Lepisosteus oculatus: one gene and its partner. The protein of the gene in region 1 binds, or shares a complex with, the protein of each later gene. Links are inferred from orthologs where the notes say so. Each region holds a gene or a part of one and is shown in the gene's direction. Other genes may lie near its edges.

The links.
Region 2: phldb2b (region 1) and ppfibp1b share a complex: the UniProt entries of both Homo sapiens proteins name them as parts of the cortical microtubule stabilization complex. The link is inferred for Lepisosteus oculatus from reciprocal best matches to the Homo sapiens genes PHLDB2 and PPFIBP1.

The regions. Positions count from the first base shown.
Region 1 is NC_090700.1:5,139,476-5,150,502, forward strand, and holds the start of phldb2b (pleckstrin homology-like domain family B member 2), read left to right. Parts: upstream 1-6,664; 5' UTR 6,665-7,177; exon of another isoform or gene 7,178-7,525; 5' UTR 7,526-7,870; coding exon 7,871-7,903; intron 7,904-8,298; exon of another isoform or gene 8,299-8,501; coding exon of another isoform or gene 8,502-8,504; intron 8,505-11,027. Other genes in the region: plcxd2 (PI-PLC X domain-containing protein 2), read left to right, coding at 1-139. UniProt on the Homo sapiens protein: Seems to be involved in the assembly of the postsynaptic apparatus. May play a role in acetyl-choline receptor (AChR) aggregation in the postsynaptic membrane.
Region 2 is NC_090702.1:53,712,510-53,723,161, reverse strand, and holds the start of ppfibp1b (liprin-beta-1b), read left to right. Parts: upstream 1-6,277; 5' UTR 6,278-6,438; intron 6,439-10,652. UniProt on the Homo sapiens protein: May regulate the disassembly of focal adhesions. Did not bind receptor-like tyrosine phosphatases type 2A.

The DNA.
Region 1 (11,027 bases):
CATGAGCTGGGTGAAGGCCCAGAAGCCTGGGGCCAACGGAGTCAACATCATCACCTCGGACTTTGTGGAGCTGGTGGATTTTGCCACGACCGTCATCAAGCTGAACAACCTGCTGCTCCCTGACAAGGCTATAACCTGAAGCCAGAGGCGCCCACCAGCACCCTCTTCCCTGTGGGCAACAGTGGGCAACCGTGGGCAAACTGCTCATTCTGTAGTAAAGGAAAACTGACAATTTACCCATAGGGACAACTGGGGCCTGTCTGCTAAAGAGGGGTCTCAGATACTGCCCCGATACCTTTTTTGAATAAGAGAGTCAGAAATATAAAGATCATCAGATGTCTGACCCTGCACTATTATGAGATGACATCAGTCTTTAATCCAGATTTCCCTCAACAGCTGTGCTCCATCATAGATGGTGTGCATTCAGTAAACTACAGGCAAGGAGCAGTACCAACCCGCAGCCAAAGACAGACCACAGCAAATCAGTCAAGCAGAGCAGCCTCAAGCACTGTGTGAGTAAGCTTTAGAGCACATGTTTAAGAGTTCCCTGTGTGTATGCAATCAGCCATTCGAGAAATGCCAGCATTTCCCGCAGAGGCACATAGTGTTAATTCTCTGAGTCAATGTGCTGCTGCAGGGCTCTCAGACCGAACTGACACCAGCCACCCCATGCCTTTACACACAATCCTCAGTAAAGCATAGCATAGATGTAGGGTATTTATCAAGAATTTCACGTTATGATTAAGGTAAAAAAAGCAAATGTGCATTATTTTCCACAGGGTATGGTTGAAACAGTGAAAAGGCAAGCTGGTAGATTGTAAAAATGACACTAATCTCTAATTCCTCTGATACTGCGTATGCTCCCATTAAAACCAGGATTTAAGCTTCTGCCTTACTTTAAAGATGCTGTATTGGTCTCTGGCATTTTTTAAATCCTTACTGTACCATAAAAAATATGCTTGCCTTGGCAGGAGCAATTATAGGCAGATGCACTGTTTGTCTCTTAAATAGGACTTGACAATTCGGAGACTGGCAATAATGACCTGAGAACTGAAGGGCTGGTTTCTTATTGTTTGGTGAACCACTGAAGGGTCAGAAGTGTGACAGATGTTGAAAAATGGACCCTGGAAATTTAGCCACAAGCCACATTGGCAGCCCAGCTCTGGACCGTGCAATGGGGCAATTTGGAGTTTCTCAATTTGGATTCCTAATCGGGCCGCCAACCGCAGTCTCCTCCTGGCAGTGTGCTGTATCCAGAAAGTGGCCTTCTGAGCCCAAAACTCTACAACTGCTGCTGTTTTTATGCCATTAGGATATTCAACGCTGACTGCTGGGAGGAGTCCAGAAAGGGAGAGATCTGAGGGGACAGAGTGTTCAAAATCCTCAAAGCCACTGAGAAAGTGAACCCAGGGGACCTCTTCAGGATCAGCGGTGAAATACCAACCAGGGGGCACAAGTGGAAACTCGGGAGAAGCACATTTAAAACAGAGCAGAAGGCGCTCTTACACAAAGCTTCACGGGAGCGTGGGACAAGCTACCCAGCCATGTTCCTGAAGTTAACGCCCGGGTTTCTTTCAAGAAAGAGCTGGACGGAACCTGGGATCAACTAGCTACTAATTACCAAACAAACTGGAGAGGATTAATGGCCGCCTCTGGTTTGTAACTCTTCTTCTGTTCTCAAGATAGGTAAAGGCACAGAAGGGTACCCACCCTGGTAACCTTTTGGCAACCTTATGCAAGGACAGACCTTCCACTACAGTTTGCCCACGATGTTTTAATTAACACATAAGAGTAGTGTTTTCTAAATAAGGATCTTCTCCCCAGTTCTTTGCTTCAGATCTTCTCTGCCATTGTAGTATTTCGGCCAAGATATTTAGCCAACAGAACTGAGGGCGGCTTGTCTTTGGCGTCTTTAATTAACTGCTGCTCACCTGTATGTGTCTGAACTGCTCGGTTGCCAATAACGTGGACACAGACAAAGCTGGAAATTAGGTTGTGTGACACACTCCAGTAATAAGCATTCCTATTAAACATTAATTATGCATGGGTTTAATTGAGAAGGGAGAGTGTTCTGATAATCAGTTCCTGGTACAGCGTTAATGCCAATTCTAGGTCCAATTACTCTGTTAAATTCTGAAATGGGTTATGAATAGGTCTATCCAAGGAAATACTGTAATCATTGGATAGGTTCAATTAGCCTGAGAATAGGCAGTGGACTGTAGGGACCTACCCTTCATCAGACAGATGATCCCACCTCATCGGCGCACTGGCGTTCCCTGTGTCATCAGCCCCAGGCTCCCAGTCCAGTCCCTTGTGTTCCAGTTTGTTTCACCTTCGATCCCAGTCACGTTTCACCAAGAACAGAGCAACATTCCAAAACTGCTGCTGGTTCACATGCATCACCCTGGAATTTGAGGAGACTTGTTTTTCCCCTTGTGACCTGCTGTTTTAACTTCTACCGACTATCGAATTCAAGACAAATCTATTTTCCAACAACAAACATTTAACTTATTTTTTTCTCACCAGCAGATCCTTCATGTCAACACTATGCAATTTGATATGATTTTATAACCTGTTTTGATGTGAAAAAAATGACTTTTTGATTTAAAAGCAGCATGGTTTATATCTAAAACAGAATATTCAACCAGACAGTACTTCTAATTTCGCCAATTACTTTTTTATTTAATTGCAATTACAATTACATTTTCGAGATGGGAAGTTTGAAACTTCCATATGGAAAAAAAATATTTTATCACATTCCGTGCAGGAAGCAATAGATGCTTTGCTTCCTGTCTGCAGATCCGTAAGTAATATTTGTAAAACAGAAGAAAGAGCTAGGTGATATCATCTATGTCTCTGCACTGCCACAGCTGGTCTTGCCTGAGGCTCTGTTGGCATTTTGCACGCGTAGCGTGGGTGATGGGAAACAGATTCCAGGAGACTTTTTGTTTGTGTTTTTCTTTACCATGTAAGCTGAATCAATCCGGGGAATAGCCTTACTGTGTCTACGAGTTTCAGAGGGAAAACTGCATTCCTGAAAGTGTTTCCCAGATGATATCAGCCGCATGCCCTCGCACAGAGCCATGCATGGACTTGAGGCTGTGACTGTCTGATTGCTCTGTCTGGGTATTTGAATGGAGCCTGATTTTCGCACAGTGGAGCCCTGAGGGTAGAGTCCTCCCCACAGGTGTATCTGATACCCCTACAAGCCTCACGATACCTTGTGATCCATTGGCAACAATGACAGAGTGTCGTTGAAAGAGTAATGTGTCCAGGAGTAGTGTAGATATTCATACAGCTTTACAGCTTATTATTATTGTTGTTGTTTTATTCTCTTTTTGTGTGTGCATTAATCTTTCTTATTAGATGTCAGTGATCGACTCATTCCTAACACTGTGATTCTCAACAGCTATACTGTGATATTTTGAATGCCTGTAACAGCACCAAGGCAAAGACTTTATGACAAAAGACATTCACTCCACTGGAATGTTGGAACAATGTGGCAGCAGAGATGTGTTCAAGAACAAGCTTTATCTTCTCTAGGTTATATTTCATTCCCAGGTTCAGTGTTTTGTTTCGAAAGGCTGCTCAACTCAGGTGCCCAGAGAGAGAGTTTGAATTTATAGCGCAGTGCGGCACTTAAAGGGACATTGAAAGCCATGAATTCTGATCTCATGTGTAAACACAGTGCAAGCTGTTGAATAGGCCACTTGTCAAGATAAGCAGTAATTTGCAAAGTCTTTGTGTAATTGAAAAGCAAACAGTAATGGGAAGATGTTGTCCTGTTATGCACTGCTGGGGGGCTTGATTGCTCTGGACAGGCCCGAAAGTCATCAGGAGGCTGGCAGGGGTGGACTTGTGGGAGAAGGGGGTGAGAAAGATCTGTCTGTGCTTTAGGTGTGTTTGCATTTTTATTAAAAACACACAACTTCTTTAGTAAACCCAAACTGGAAAAGCTACAGCTTATTCCTGAGGCATGCACCAAAGTGTGTTACTGCACATTGACATATGCTAGCTATTCATTGAAAAGACAGCAACTCTTCCGTTGAAGTAGGATGCGTTTTTATATGCTGAATATCCTTGAAAAGCTTTTAAACTGTTACTATTAAAGGGTTGCTCAGCTGACTGTAATGTTGGCAACTTTATGTTGGTAATGTTGTGTGGGAAACTCGTGGCTTTGGGTTCGATAAGCCAGTGGTGTCCATTAGGATACATTCTGCTGATTGTAACCAGAATCCCTGGTAAAATTGTTTGGAATGTTATTCGTCACCATAGCAACACTGTGGAGCTCCAAGGTAATGGATATGTAACTCCATTTCAGAAGAATGCCAGTAGCTATCTTTTAGATGACGTCATTCATCTCTGTATGCAAGATTCATAAAAGACAGTGAATTTGTGAACGACAGTGAAGTAATTGGCTTCATCGTCCAGCTGATACTCTCTTTAGTAAATAAATGTCAGGTATTCAATTTGGAAAACCCATCTTTGCATGTCGTAATGCTGTTTTGGAATGAGAGCACACCACCATTTCCTGTCTTATTCAAATTCATTTATAGTGTCAAAATCCTTTTCAGATCCTTTAGACATGCTGTACAATCAATATAGTGTTTCTGTGATGCACTTTAATTAACTCTTTCATGAGCTGTTATACTAGAGACGGTCATGTAATAGTTGAGAAATGTTTGAAATAAACAAGTTTTGTGAAGTGGCCAAATAAATAATTTCCAACTGACGTGTTTTTTTTTTCTTAAAGGGGAAAGGGTAATATATTGCATTCTTAATTTAACCAGTAAAAATATATTTTTTAATATAACAAACAGTGCTGATGTAGTGATGTGACCACGAACGTTTATAGCCTATTGCTTTGTGATTTATATTTATCTGTCTCCTGCAGTTACAGATTCAGTGTTGGAAACTTTTCCCCCCAGAGTTCACTCCGAGAGGGCTGCCTGAAGATGCAGCAATACGTCTTTGTTCACCAGCAGCAGCTGGATCGGACAGGTTGAGCCGTGGTTTTTGGAGAAGCAGGCCGATGATGACACGCTGGGAGAGTCAGCCCTCTCATGTCCTCTCAGCACAGATTCATTACAAAAGCTGTTCTAATCGTAGTGTACTCTCCCGGTACACTTTTTTGTTTTGTAAATAATCCACAGATAATTCTTTAATTCTATACAATAATACCAACAACTACATGCATTTTTCTAGAGCATTTCACCACGAACATATGGGCAGCACACAGCAGCCACTCTGCATCTGCTGGACAGGTGAGAAACGACCGCACTCAGTGAGTTAAGGAGGACATCTAGGGAGGCTAGATTGATCTGTCTCTGGAGCGCCGGTGTGGGTTCTCTTCAGTCCTGCTCTTGTGAGCCACACCCAGTCATTGGCTAAACCAAGCACCTCGATTTCACATCCCAGCTGGAAGAGGACACCTGCTCCTGCACATCGCTCCAGGTCACCAGACTGGGCCCCGGATGGGAGATTCCGGTCGAGAGGAAAGTGCGCCACCTGCTGGTCGGCCAACACCGCTTGCAGAAGTGACCCTCCCTCCCCCCGAGAAGCCTGCCAGCTCCTCACTGGGGAGGCCCAGCTCTGGAGATCAGCCTGAGGGTGGCAGTGCTGCTGTATGGCATCCTGGCATTTCCCACCTGACCAAAGGAAAAAGCTGAAGGAGAGGTTCCCACACTTTGGGATTGAAAGTTTTCACGGTAGAAGTTTGTATCTTAAAGTCAGCCAGCAGCCATGTCACCCTGCAGCTCAGCAGGTGTGAGCCTGGTCAGTATCTGGATGGGAGACCTCCTGGGAGGAGCTAAGGTTGCTGCTGGAAGAGGTGCTCGTGGGGCCAGGGGGGGGCGCTCTCCCTGCAGTCTGTGTGGGTCCTAATGCCCCAGTATAGTGACGGGGACACCATACTGTAAAAGAGGCCTGTCCTTCGGATGAGACGTAAAACCGAGGTCCTGACTCTCTGTGGTCATTAAAAATCCCAGGGCGTTTCTTGAAAAGAGTAGGGGTGTAACCCCGGCGTCCTGGCCAAATTTCCCATTGGCCCTTACCAAATCATGGCCTCCTAATAATCCCCATCTATGTTGTGGCTTCATCACTCTGCTCTCCTCCCCACTGAGAGCTGGTGTGTGGTGAGCGTTCTGGCGCACTATGGCTGCCGCCACACCATCCAGGTGGGGGTGCACACTGGTGGTGGTGGAGGGGATCCCCATTACCTGTAAAGTGCTTTGAGTGGAGCGTCCAGAAAAGCGCTATATAAGTGTGAGGAATTATTAAAGTCATTTTAAAACAAGTGTAAGGTTGATAGTGTAAGTCTAAAAGTAGACAACACACAGACAGAGAGAGAGAGCAATATTTGGCTAAGGAACAAGTAATAGGTTTATTCCCTGCTGAAAAGAGAAGGAAGAAAACAATACTTTGGCTGTGGAGCCTTCTTCAGGTAAATTGGATAATTGGATATTAAATCCGATAATCATTTGGATAATTCCATCTTGATTTGACTTGTAGATAAGACATTTGAGTTTACAGCAGAGCAAAGAGCTCTGGAGAGACCTCCCTCTGTGTGTGTGTGTGTTTGAGTCCTGCTCCGTTAGTGCCCCCGTCCAGCCCGAACTGCCCCCACTGGAGGTGCTCGCTGCCGTCCTGTATAACCCCACCGCAGGCCGGGGGAAGGAGAGCACAGGTCAGCACGATCACACGGGCTCTCAGCCCGGGCCGCAGCCCAGCTCAGAGGCTTCCTGTTTACTCTGGAGATCCTTCCCCCACCGTGAAACCTGAAGCAGCCCCGAGCCGCTTCGGTCTCCTGCACTGGAATCCACGACATGTGCCGTGGCGATTTCCGCGGCGATAAACACGCCGGCTCCCGCGCTCCGCCACGTCCCAACCCGCTCAGCCTTTCCGCTCCGCAGCTGCGGGTCCGAGCCGGACCGGACCGGGCCGGACCCGACCGCGGCCGCCGCTCACCGTGCCTGGTCTGGACTCGACGCCGGCAAGGTATGCCGACGAATCAGATCGATCGATTCGTTACAGTTGGGCTCAGCTGGAGACCGTCTTCCTAAAGATTGAACGTTTGCCGGAACATCCAGCGTTTTCCGCGATCACTGCGATTTTAAGGATCCTGACGAAGACTGGTCTTTAACCCCCCTCCGGAAAACAAACAAAAATCAAAAGAAAAGTATGTTTCAATAGCACACAGCTTCGCATCTTGGCGCGGTCCCTGGCATCTGCATACATACGGTAGATTCACACAGGAAACACCTCCTGGCCCGTGGAGACTCGCCGCGCGATCTCCGACACACCGCTTTCCGAAGCAGCTCCGGGAGGCGTCAGGTTTCCGAATTTCACACGCCTAGCCTTTTGCGAAGCAACGCGCATTAAAAAAAATCGGGCTGTTTTTGCGACAGTTGAGTGGGGATTGGGAAATATACGCGTCTTTGGGGTTCCAATTTTTTTTTGGGGGGGGGGGGGTCTGATTTCAAAGACTCTGGTCAGCTCTACACCTTGTTGTTGTTGTCCGCTGTAGAAAAGTGGCTCCACGCGCTCCTGGCTGGCCGGCCGGCTGAGCCCCCCCCGGTCTGCAGTCGGCACGCACCCCGAGGTCTCCAGCTGCTGCGCATTCCGGAGCTCGAGGGAGAGCGCGAGGGAGCAGCGCGGGCGGCGCAAGCGGACCGGCACCCGGCGCGCAGGGCTGCCCCCGGGGGCGTAGTGCGATGCCTCAGCGGCGCCGGACATCCCGCATCCCGGACTCCTGCCTGACACGGACAACTTTTCTGCGTGCGTGCGCACTTGCGCATCTGGATTTCTGACTGTTCTGGTCTTTTCCTTCTCCTGCTCGCTCCAAAATCCAAGAGCAACCACAACAGCAAGAATGCCTGACACTGACAGCTCCGTTTCCAAAACGGTAAGTCGCTATATGTTACCCGAGCAGGTCCTCAGAAGAGAATTGCTCTATCGAATTACGAACTGACCCCGTGGAAACGAACGGCTTTAAAAAAAAAAAAAGATTGATACCATAATTTTTAAGTTTGCAGTGGTGCATTTTTGTTGTCTTGTTTTTTGTTGATAGGTTAAAAGTTGAAGAAACGGTTGAAAGGTGTCCTTTATTGGGGTTTTTTTTGCGTGTTATCTAAAACTGGTTATTATGTTGGTGGTATGTCGTTAGGTATTGCATGCCGCTGTAGCCCAGACCAGGTCAGTTAGACGAGCCTCAGCGCGATGAAAGTCTGCTTTGTTGTGTCTGGAGCGCCTGTCACATGCGCCAGAGCGTGCATAATTAGAATTCCTCCGGAGCGCGGCTCAGGGGCGGACAGGGTGTCGGGGCGCTACAGAGCGCTGCAGGTGGGGCACAGGGACTTGGGCTCTACACCCGGCTCTGCTCCCTGTCAGATGTCAGGTGTCCGCGAAGCGCCGATCCACAATCGCCCATCTGTGCGATTCCACCCTCTCCCGAGCCGCAACCCACATTCACTTCACCCATAGCCTCAAGCGGGCATTTTCACATGGTAAGTTTCTGGTCTTCTTGTAAGTAATTATCCTGTCAGTCCACACTCGCGAAATAATTGAGCAGAAGCAAAACGTAATGGATAGCTTACTGCACATTCCTTGGAAGATATGCGAGCAAGCGATATCTCTGTTTCGACGATATCTCTGGCGACTGCGACAGTGCTGAATCTTTTAAAGGACCTATATTCAATTGTGAGGCTTTTTGAGGTGTTGTAAAGGACCTCACTGAAGGTGAAGTTCCTTTGATGGTTCAGGACCTGAGCTGAAACCTTGAATTCCTTCTGCCCTTCATTGCTTATCGTCACTGTGTCCAGCTCTGCTTTTACAAACGTCTCTGCCACCTGCTGTCATGCGTACAGCAGTGCGGTCATTGTTTTTTCAGATCGTTATTTCCAACCTATTAGACTGTTGGCTTTACTAGTGTGGTGGGCCGTAGGCAGATTTTGGGATTGCAGTGCTAAATGTCCTAAACCGGCACTGCTCTTGAATAGAGGACAGTTGTGCTCTAGCTGTTCATTAATATTAATAGATCTCACATCGAGCCTGAAGGCTGCTTGTGTGTGATTCAAGACATACAGCTGGACCCCAGCGGTTTCTGAGTGCAGAAAGACAACACAGGTGAGCTCCTACTGCCTGTATAGGGATTACTGAGTTCCCACAGACAGACTGGACCTCCACCAGATCTTTGGGCATTTGGTTTAAATTTGCTGGAGCTGATGAATACCTCTTCATTCTGTTTTGGCTCTCCATTACGCCACTTGTGATAATAACTTAGAGCGTTACAGCCTGCTTCCAGTTAAGGTGCTTTCAAGCAGAGCCCAAAAAGTAAATGTTAAGGGATCTAACATGCAAGGGAAGTCTTCCCCTGACTTACATGCGGTAGGAAAAGGAAACACTTTGAGGTCAAAGATTATCCAGTGTTAATTGAATTTTTTGAACATTTTCCTTTGAAAAATGAAAATGCAACTACTCTACCACTCTTTTCATTTAAAGAGATGTTCTGCCCTGTGTAAAAATTCCCTGTGAAGCAAAACAAAATCAATACACAGATATGGAACAATTTCAGCTGTTACAATTCACAGTAGTTTTACTTTTTGTAATTCCACATTTAATCAAGTTGTAAGAACATTTACAGGAAAGGTCCTCAAGTGTCTTTTCAGCAGAAACACTCCTGCTCCCTGTTCACTCAATGTGAAAAAAAGTACGTAGAATAAACCTTGGAGGCACTGTCTCTTTCTGCAAGCGTCAGTGCTGTGATGTTTCTCTCTCCAGTTATGTCTATAGGAAAAATATCTTCATTTAGTCTTTGCCCTCCTATGCCGGGAGTGCAGGTTGTGAGCTTACTGTTCTAGCAGTGGAGGAGACTGGGCACTCAATAACGCACAGGAAAAAAAGCTGACAACTTCGGCCTCCTCCCAGTTTCCCCTGCACACAGTGGTACAGATCAGCCATTTCCCAGACCAGCTCCACTCGGACAAAGCTTCATTGTCTCCAGCTGTGAACGTCAACAGGATTCTTACTTTGAATGCACTGCAATGTACGGACTGCATGTGTACCGGGAGGCCTTGCCTTTTAATTCTTTGTAAAGATAAACATTCCCCTCAGTGAAAGAATAAGACATTCCTGATCTCTATGTCAAAATAACTGGGTCTTTCTGATTGTAACATAAAATAAACTAAAAGCACGTTTCTCCAAAATGTCACTGAGGAAAATATTGAGATATTGAAGTTCAAGTCGGTGATGCCCTTTCCCTCATAAATTCACGGTATGCCAGCATATGCATTATAAAGCTGGTAGTGCACAATGAGATCATTGTACAGTAGCAGAGCGTAGCAGAGACACAGAGTAGCTTAGATGTATTAAGTGCCGTGAAAACTTTGAAAGACTGCTGTCACATTCATTATAAAAAGAAGAGAAACAAGTGCTTGTCGTCAGATCAAGTTTGTTTTTTAGCAGCCTGAGGATGAGAGACGTTTTGTCTGAATAACTGTAGCAGCTGGTGAGGAGATGTTAACGCATAGTAGGTGGCCAAGGTTAGAAGAGAACGAGGAGGGTGTTCTGGAGGATGACCTTTTAAATGACCATGAGAAACCTCTGTGGAGCTCCAGCGGCCTCTTGCAGCCAGCCCACAGTTCTGTTCTGGGGTAGGCAGCTTGTCATAAAGTATGAATCGTGTCCAACTGTCCCTTCATCACGCCCTGTCTGTGCTTCAGCTGAAGTCCCTCCCTGACATCCTTCAGCAGCATATGGTATCTGTGGAGGTTGAAATGTGAGAAATTCACTATTCTGCGCACAGCTGGAGCAGCACATACAAGTCTGCCTGCTTCGGTTTTAAACACAGGACAAAGGTTACCGATCTTGCATTGATTCTCTTTGATCTTGTGAAGTGTGTGACCCGTGTTTCCAGTGAAGGCATCAGCTGTTGATCAAATGGCATCCCTCTCTTGTGCAAAGCTAGGGATCTTATAAGTCATCCTGTGAGTTTCTATTAGATACTTTCAGTTATCCAATAGCCATGTCCC
Region 2 (10,652 bases), on another chromosome or scaffold:
GTTTTCTTTCACAAAACAGCTGAGATCCTGGGATTAATTAGCTGGTAAAATCCAGGTGAAATAGACGCCCAAAGTTCTTCCTTTCCTTTGTAAGCTTTCAGAATGTACACCCTCCTGTCTCTCATGTTCTGATCATCTTAAAGTGATCATGCTTATATCAGAATTAGCTTGCTGAATTATTCTGGGCTTCCAATGAATAACCATATAATATCACCCAGTGATCCTCAGTATTGGCATTAACATCAAAAAGATGATGTGCCATTGGCATAACAATTTCATGAGTACAGTTCAGCGCAGTGTTGATCATAATAAGATGAGACTCTGGCCTGTGGGCACGCGTTGTTATTGTGGTTGTTGCCGTGGGTGAAGATGGTTGCCACCTTAAAGTGCTCATTGTAACTAAATGACATAATGGCCTTAGAGCCTCGTGTGAGTGCATCTTGTACGTCAAACTGACGTCTGTACCAGGATGTCATTTATTTAATAATAATAGAGTTTAATATGTTTTTGTTTGGCTTCTACCAAAGCTGCTTTGATATCTATTTTGATATACATTGCCTCTGTCTTGCCCTAGCTGCAGTTTGGCAGACCATCACATTGACATGGGCTTTCATTTTATTAATTTGTGTGCTCTGTGAAGCATAAAACCTTCATGCTCCTGAATGTAGGGAAGTGACAAGCCTGCCACCAAGACATTCATCCATTTCCTATTGAGAGTCAGAGCCACCCAGAGCCTATCCTGGTAGCACAATGTGCCTGACAGGACTGGATGCTGGATGGGACAATATACAATCTGGACATTGAAATAAATGGCAGCATGTCTTTTGAAGGCATGACACCACTGGAGGACTCATAGAAAAACATGTGACCACAGAAGAAATGTGCAAGATCTACAAAGAACGTGTTGCAGACTGGAATCAAACCCAGTACCCAAGTGCTGTGACATACAGTAGTAGAACTGGGCTTAATTCTGGACCGAGGGTGCTGTCTGTGTGGAGTTTGTATGTAATCCCTGGGTTCACATGCTCCCACAGTCCAAATGCATACAGGTGGGTGTTGTTCCCGGTGTGAGTGTGCGTGTATCTGCCCTGTGAAGGACTGGTGTCCCACCCAGGGTGTTCCCTGCCTTGCACGTGTTGCTTGCTGGGATAGGCTCCAGCTCCCCCCTGACCCTGATTTGGAAGAAGCACTTGGAAGATGGATGGATTGTTGAATTTAAAATAGGTGTTAATATTTAGTCCAGTTCAAAAATAAGCTCAGATGTATGGCACCAGACTCAGTCATGTGCTGTGGCCTTCAAAATAACATGGAAGTTTCTGTTATTCCTCCTCTTATTTATAAACCATGTCTAAAAATATCTCCTGAGAAATGTCTCTGTTTCAAAGTTAGCCAAAGATTTAAAAGAGAAAATTAGGAGTTCTAAATTGTTCTGATTTATTGGACGGCATGCCCAAGGCAGATTTTGTTTTACAGGATATTGCTGTTGAGACAAACAAAGCCATCATAAAGACACTTCCTGAACCTGCTATCAGATAGGCCAGGCAGTAGCTGATATTTCAGAGGAAGAAACAAATATAAGTATGAGCATAAAATCCTGTCTTGTGTTGTGTTTCCTACTGTCATTTAGATACTGTTCAAGAAATGTCAACCTGAGATCTGAATTATATTCTGAACAAAGGACTATGAAATTATCTAACCAATTCAATCCAAGCAAATTTTAACTGTTTTGAATCAAACAACATTTTTAAAAATACACACTTATTTGTTACTTTTACATGTATCGACTGTTCACTTATACAGTATATTGGAAGTTAAAAAACTGCAGTGAATTGACCACTTCAGGAAACTTAGTGTTGTGAGGCTGTATAAACTAGCAGTAGATTATATTCAGATTATTGTGATAATAAATTAAGACGTGAATAAATTGAGTTTTCTGATTTATGATTTGTTTTGGAATTTAATCATTAATTCGGTTTATTCATTTAATATAATAATCTGTATTTTGTGACAACCTACATATTGTAACGCTTACGGCCGACAGGCACCGTGTAAGAGCCGGCGTACCAGAGCAGGTGACGTCACCGCCCTTCCCTGTGATAGCAGGACTACAGCTACTGAGCTGTAGAGAGATCTCTCTTTGGCTCACCGGGCTGGGTCCCTGTTGAGTGACGCGGGAGTCCCGGGTTTGAGCCCCCGACGGTGCGGGGCCGACCTAATGCGGCAAGGGCGCTCGCCTGAGCCCCCGTTGCGTTACAATATAATTTATGACTCTATTATGAGGCTGTAAATTACCAGCAGGTAGCACAGATCCATGAGTGTTATCACTGCTGTCTCACAGTTCTTGGTTTCTGGGTTTGATTCCAAAGTGTGGAGCAGTGGCTCTGTGGCTGTGACTGGAAGGCTGCAGGTTCAAATCCTGTGGCCAGCAGAAGAATCCTACACTGTTGGACCCCTGAGTGAGGCCCTTAACCCCCTGTGCTCTGACCCCCAGCTTCTCTCTCCCCATCTGTGTGTCTCATGGAGAGCAAGCTGGGGTATGTGAAAAGGAAAATGTATAATGCAAGAAATTGTATACAGCTAATAAAGTGATCTCATTTTATCTTATCTTTTGTATGGAGTTTACTTGTTTTTGCCAGGGCTGGGTGGGCTTTCCCCAAGGCTAGCTGTTGAGGTTAACTGGTGCTTCTCTCACTTGTCCCTGTGTGCCTGTGAGTGTACCCTGAGATGGATAAGCATCAGCTCCCACCTTCTGGAATATACTCTTGATTTCTGTGCAGCTCACTAAGAATAAGTGTCATAACTGATAACAGAATTAATCAGTCAGTACTTAATTTTATTGTTTAATATTAAACTATAAAGAAGATAAAAAAAATTCTTTTTTGCTGATGAATTGCTAATAACAGAGTTCAAACTGGGACAGAAAATGTTTATTGATATAACAACAACAAATGGTTGCTCTTTTACAGGGCTATAATATAATAATAATAATAAACTTTATTTTATATAGTGCCTTTAACGGTGGCTTCTCAAAGCGCTTTACAGGATGACAACAACAATAAATAAGAAGAATACACAAGATAAAACACAATTACAATATAAAGAGGAGACCGTGGATGGTGGTACTAAGAAAAGCAGAGGGGTGAAGAATGATGTATAATCAACACAATACATCTTTATCACTAAAACTTTAAAAAATACGCAGTAAAACCACTATTTTACACACTGGAAAATAGTAACTTATAGGAAGCTATGCATAAATATGAAAAATACAGTACATATGTAGTAAAACAGAACGACAGCAGTGCAAAACAAATTCAGTCATTGAAAACGAGTACAAATGAGTCTTTTTGTGGTAACTTACAGATGCTCAGCTCAAATCCAACATCGTGGGGCACAAGTGTGGCTCAATGAGGCATGATGTCCAGTAAATCAGTTCAAAATAAATAAAGGACTACTGACATCCTGCTGGAATTCTTACTTTTAGCTAAAACTGTGAAGGAGAGCGGTCTGAGGAAGCCGAGCTTCGAGGGCACCCCAGGAAATGGAGAGGGACAGGACCAGGCTGTCTGTGTATTTGCATCTAAGTGAAAGTGGAGGCAAAAAAGACTGAAGAGTCAGGGAATACACTGAGAGTCAACCTGCTGAAGAAAACAGGGGACATGGCGGGTTATGAAGGAGAAAGAAGAAACAGGAGTTAAGTGGGAGAAGACCAGTCAGCAGAGGGGCAAACCAGGGTGACATTCTCGAACAGGACACGAGTAATACAGGGAGCCAGTGTGGTTCAGGAAGGAAAGGAACTCCACGAGGGAAGCCAGGTTCCAGATGATGGGATTTTACAGATTACCAAGTTACAGTGGAGAGTAGAGAATGTGGCAGAAACAGGGAGGCCCACCAAGGGAGGCTGCAGCTGACCCAGCCAGGCAGAACCAAGCAGAGTCTAACAGGCTGCGAGGAGGGGGTAGAGTCTGCACCTGGGAGCCAGAAGCCACAGGATGAGCAAGTCAGGGAAGAGATGTGCTGAGAGGAGATATCAGGGTGACACCACGGTCCTCCTGCAGAAGTCAGAGGGCTATTTCCTCAAAGTCTTTTTTTTTGCATGGAAACGTGCAATCAAGCTTACACGCAGGAAACAGCCTTGGCTTTTCTTATCAGAAAGAAGGATCATTGGAACAAAAAAAGCATAGATCATTTTCCAGAAAACACTTCCAAATCTGGAGTCTTTAAACAGTCAGTAAATAGTCCTGAGCACAGCCATCTGTTAAAAGCAGATGTTTCACAGTTACAGGGTGTTAATAATATTTCTTTTTCTGTGCCAAAGGATCTTGAAATAGAACAGAACAAGAGGTTTTCTGATGAGGGCAATGACACATGTGGTGTCACTTTGTAATATTTTTAAGTAGGATATCTTGGTATGACTAAAACTGAATAATGATATTTGCAAATAGGATACAATGATTTTACCATACTATTTGCATTTAATACAAATGATGCAATAAACAATAACCTAATTTCTTGGTTGGAGAGTTTGTTTGGCATACCTTAAATTATTTAAATCTTACCTTGTTATGCATCAACACTTTATTCCTCTTGGCGATTTAGTTCTGAGGTCAGGTTGATTATATTTGGTGATCCACAGGGCTCAATTCTGTGCCCTTTGCTATGTAAGATTTATGGTTTGTCCTTGGACAAACAGTAAAATTGAATGGTCTGAGTTATTATTTTAATGTGGATAAAAATGGGTCCAGACTGAACCAGACACAGAGGTATCTGCTTCAGTAATCTGATTTTATTTCTGCTGTAAACTCTTGGGTGACACAAAAGGCTTTGCATCTTAATTGTAATAATATCGAGGTTGAATTATTGGGTTAACACCTAAGCTATAAAGCAAACGAAGCAAACTGAGGGCAATGTGTTTGATATTTGATCCATAATTAAGAACTGAGAGGAGAGGAAGAATTGTACAGAGTTTTGTAATGATACTTTTTTTCAATTTTAGAACTATTCTCAGCCTGCTCTCTGCTGTTTGTATTGGTAGTAATTATTACTAGCTTGGCTGAAACCTTCATCTAAAGCAGCTTTCCATTGCACTCCTTTGCACAGCCCAGTATTTTACTGGAGCAATTCTGAGAAAGTGCCTTGCTTAAGGGTACAACACCAGCACTGCACCTGGGATAGAAACCCGCTACTTAACAGTTACATGTCCAGAAAGCTAATCACTGCTGTAATCACACTCCTCCAAAACTGCATTCAAAAACTCACACCATGTTCAGAATTTGGCTGGTTGAATTCTGTCTAGATCAAGAGCACTTTACCATATCACTCCTGTCCTGGAATCCTCTCACTGACAGGATTCAAATTGCTATTAAAATCATTCTGCTTATGTTCAAGGCTGTGCACGGCCTGGTTTCTAGGTAGCTGATATTGCATCTGTTTATCCCATTCCACACAAATTTTGCCTACGTGATTGTTGTTTGCTGTGTGTTCCCACTGTCTACAGTATATTCTGTGGGTGACAGGGCCTTTTACAGCCCTGGAACACTGCATCGAAAGAAATCAGGGGTAGCCACATGGGGTGCTTCTATATTGTAATTGGCCTTTTTTTTAAGAAATGTGATTGTTTTATTGTCTGTATCTGCTTTGTTTGTTATACATTCTTTAATTTTATTGTAACATGTGATGTTTATGTAATGTATAGAGTGTGAAAATAGATATAAAATAACGTTTTGTTTTGTGATTGGTGTTGTTTTGTATATCGCGGTTGTAGCACAAAAGTTCTATGAATGTAGTGTTATAAAAAAACTATTCTCCTAGAAAGATGTTTAATTGTAATTAACTTTCACACGGAGACAAAAGAAATTCAAGTCAGACCACATCAAGGTTGAATAAATCTATGCCCTTCTTACGGTTCCTTCTCTTCAACATTGACTTAAACGATGTATTTGACACTAAAGAAAAGAGAGAGAAAACACTCACAAGGACTGGAAAGGATATTCTTTTCATTTAGATTTGGTTGGAACACAAACAAAAACGTAAATTAATTTACAGGACCGTCAGGACTGCACTCCTAGGTGAAGCCCCACTCAACTGCAGAACTGAACCCAGACAGCCAAGTCCTAGGTGGGACTCTCCCAAACTTTGGAATGTTGGACACCACGTGGTACAATTTTACTACTCCATTGATTGGGACTCGTATCCAATCTCGGCACTCCTACCGGAGAAGTTGAGCTTCCCAAACCAATCAGATGGGAAACAGGGCGGGTTGTGTGCCGGCGATGACGTCCTCGCCCCGTTAGATCCCAGGTTTCCCGACATGGCGTAAGAGAGGAAGGGATTAGGGACGGCGAAGGGAAAAAAAAGAGTGTTTTCAAGAACGACCGTGAAAGAAAATCTCGCCGCGTAGGATTTGCTTATTCGAGGAGTCTTGTAAGGATTTTGTGGGTGAGTGTGCTGGTTTGACGTCCACTGTCTTCCCAAAGCCTTTCATCCGATGAACTCTGTCTGTCTCTTTATCCGTTTTCCAGTTTTTACAGCTTTTTTTCGGGTCTCATCTGGAGCACTTCAAACGCGAATTCGCTCGAAACTTTTAATTGCGGCGATAGTACTAAATATCTATACCCGTCAGGCGAAGATGAAATCAAACATGTGAACGAAGGTGCTGCAAATCCCCAAACTTCAGTATAAACTAACTTTATTTTTTTAGGTGTAGGGGTAGTCTCTGCCGAATAGCTTTTCACTTAAGGGTTAGTCATTTCTGAAGTTTTCAGCGAAGCTACAAGTCAGATGAAATCTATAATGTCTGTGCCTACACAGTGAGGTTTAATGACCTTTGGTAGTTTTCGTGACAGACTTAATTTGTTTATGCTGTTTTTTTTTAGCTTGAAAGATTGGACCGAAGTTTTTATTTCTGTGGGTGTCGAACCATAACATGCAAACGTTTTTTTTTTTAATTTCATTAAAGGCTACACCTTGTTGGTCTCGCTTTCCAGCGTTTATGAAGTCGCAAATGCGGGAGAATAGACGTCGCCAGGTGTATTTTAAAGTCTAGACCTCTTCTTAAGCAGAAGTGTTGGGTTGCGCACGGACTCTTGGAGGCGGCTATCTGATGAGCGCCGTGCTGTGAGGGTGTTGCACTGCGTGCTGTATTTCCGTATGTTTTAAGCAGGCGTCTGTTAAAGAGAAATGGACCGGGAGAGAAGGAAAATCTGGCGTATTTCTTCTTGTTTTTAACCTGAGCTGCGATATCTCTCTCAGTCGACCCGTTTTTATCCGGTGCGCAATTGACCGTCAAGCCACGGTTTCGCTGGGGTCCTCTGGCCGCCTGGGGCTTTTCAGCTGCTGCGCTCCACGTTATCGGCACCTCCCCAAAGTCTTTAACAAACAGTAACAGTGTGTCTTTCAGTAGCACACGGAATCCAGTGGTCTGCCTCTGCTTATTCATTTTAATAAAGCGTCAGCGTGTTAATTCTCAATTTACGAAGTTTGGGAGAGCATTTTGCAAAGTCAGACTGGAGGGGTTGGAATATGAAACTCGACAGTTGCCTGATGTTGTAGCCGAAATAATGTAATTATCATCTTAGTATACTAGGCACAACACTTCTTAAGCCTTTTTTTTTTACGAGACCTCTGGCAAACCATAGAGGAATTGATGGCAGTATTTAACATTTTAAAAGTATTCCCCCTTCTTATTGGCCACTTCCTAGCAATTTTGTTTTTTGGGTGGTTTCGAAAGACTTCCCCCTAATTTCTTGTGTGTTAAAGGTAACATGGTTCGTTTCAGTTATCGTCATCACTATAACTGTGTATTGGGTGGAAATTACAGTTCCTTCCCAGACCAGACCCGAGACAAACTTGTGAATGTCTCTTACCAGCTGTGCCCTGTTTTTGAACTGTCCCATCACTCTTCTGTGTTTGGTGTGCACTCTGGTCGTGCTTATCATGTGACTGAAAAAACGCTGTTTAAATCGCCGACATGTTTACTGTTTATTACTCTTATTAGCAGAATCCTTTTTCCAACATGAGTTCATTGCCCCGCAACAAACAGTGACCTATAAGTTATTTGCAGTGATAGTATAGATGGTATAAGCAAAAGGTAATCTATAAATATAATGATTCAACATACAGACAAACCAAGATAAGGTTATTTTACTACAGAACAGTCTGAATTAATCTTTGAAATTGGTCCATATAAATATTATTTTATACTTAATGTAACTATACTTATACTTTATGTAATGTAATGGATAATAGTATTGAAGTGTTCTCTTATTGTCTTGCACATGTACAGTCACCACAACTTTATTGTTCCTCAAGAGCTACTACTTCTTTCAATGTCTTGTTGGTGTGAATGTTGGTGGCTATGGTACCATGCAGTAATGCATTTAACTAAAAGGGAAAAAAATAGAAGAGCGTCATTGCAGTTTGTTAGTTTTTATCTTGTTGTCCAATTTATAAGTCCACCAGATAGAACATTTTGAGAGCACGTTCCTGGCTCTATATCTCAAGCAGAGAGCGAGTCTCAGTTCACTTGGAGTACTGTACCCCTTGTAAATCAGAGTACTGATCCTAATCTGAAATCTCTGAATGTGCTGTATTCTGGTATTCGTGTTTCACAGTGTCATAAGCGTTAATGGGAAGTCTTTTAATAAAAAAACAACACATCACAGTCAACGTGTGCTTTCTATTTTAAAATAGGAATGACAAGACCTATTAATGCTGCTGTGTTGCTGGTACAGTATAACCCCTGACATCTCTTCAGTGTTCATGTGTGTCTGGATGCAGTACGTTTCTCTTCCTATATTTAAATCTGCACCTAGAAAGCTGTTTTTGTGATTCAGGTTCATTTCAGGTGGCAGCCTTCCAGTGTGACATTTACAGTACAATTTATGGATTTAAGATGAGGTTTTTAAGTTTCTGTTTTTGTCTCCAAACTAATCTTTCTGGCTGTCTCGGTTGCAAACGGCTAGAGATAGCCAAACACGTGGGTAAAACATACATTATAGACCTATCCTCAGAGCTGAGGCTGCAGAGAACTTGGGAATGTTTTCTTTTCCGATGCTCCAGCATGTGTTGTGTGTTTGTGCCATGATAGCTCAGATTTCCTGAGAGTGCAGCGCACGTTGACACTGACCATTTTTTGGAACAAGTTCGCTGTCCGCCGTCTTGAAAGGATTGCAGATCACCCAAGGCTAATGATCTGATTTGTTTTTATCTTGGAAGGACTGAGCTAAGTAGAAGAAACATCTCTATTGTGAGGTATTTGAAGTACCTGTAGGACAAAATGTTTTATATATCATGTGCACAACAATCTCTATTTAAGAGATTTCCAGTACTACGTGATTTAATGATTGCAAGTCTGCGTTTCCAGCCTGTCACCGATCCAGTCTTTTAATTTTAAAAATTTTGTATTTGGTAATAGTATATTCCAGATACAGAAGAGAAGAATCTGCAGGCATTCCATTAAACCTCCCCTAGTTTAACTGTTCTCGCGTTTCTGATGTCGCACTCTGCCCAGCAAGTTGTTTGTGGCTCTTTTTGACAAATTCATACCCGCTGAACCATTTGTAATAAATGTCAGATTTGTTTGTAGGCTGATGGTAAAGCTGAAAATATTTAAAGAAGAGCTTCCCAAACCTAGTCTGTGTGTCATTTTAGCATTTATCCCAGATGATGTCTTCGCTAACTAATTATACTTATTTTGAGTAATAAAATATTTACGTAGCTCAGCATCTTCAAAAGTGGTCTATATGTGACATACAACACAACAGTCATTCTTTGAGAATTCTCCACTGGATCAAGCACAGAGAGTCCCATGGGTTGGGTAGGAATAAAGCAGTCTAGGACAGTTTATGAAAGGAAGCTTTTCTTCAGACATGACTATGGTTTAAGAATCACTGTTTCCAGAGACTGTTTTTATCGGATGAGTAAGATTTAAAAAAAAAAACATTCATCACACAATGAAAATGTACAAGATACCCTATACTTATATTCTTAAGTGAGTCAGTTTTTCTATTGATCGTGGTGAATCGTATATTGGTATCTGAAATCTATAGCGTGTATGCTGTGTAAAACATCATAACTGTTCAGAAACCCTCATCAGAGCACTGTGTCCAATCTAGATATTTCCCCAGTGAGGCCTGCCACTGTATGCTTATCTTTCACTGTTTCTTTATTTTACAAGGTCAATCGCTTGAGCACAGTCTCCTGTGCAGTGAGGACCTTGAGACTCACTCACACTGCAGGGCACTTACAGGAGCTGTTTGAGTGGCATACTTGGCTCAAGGATGCAACAGCAGAGCCCTAACCTGCCCATCTCCTGTCCAGATTCCTAATCACTACTCTGCACTGCTGCCTGAACTTTCAGGATGTTTTATTATACAGTCGCAGATTCTTCCACTGCAATCTCCTTTTATTAACCCTTTTGATGCACAAAGCCATACCTTTCTTCAAATTTCCCCCTGGCATTTCACATTCATGGCCTCCTATGATGGATCCCCATCTATGTACTGGCTTCATCACTTTTCCCCCCTCCCCACTGAGAGCTGGTGTGTGCGGAGCGTACTGGTGCACTATGGCTGCCGTCGCGTCGTCCAGGTGGGGCTGCACACTGGTCTTTGTTACCTGTAAGGCGCATTGAGTGGAGTGTCCAGAAAAGC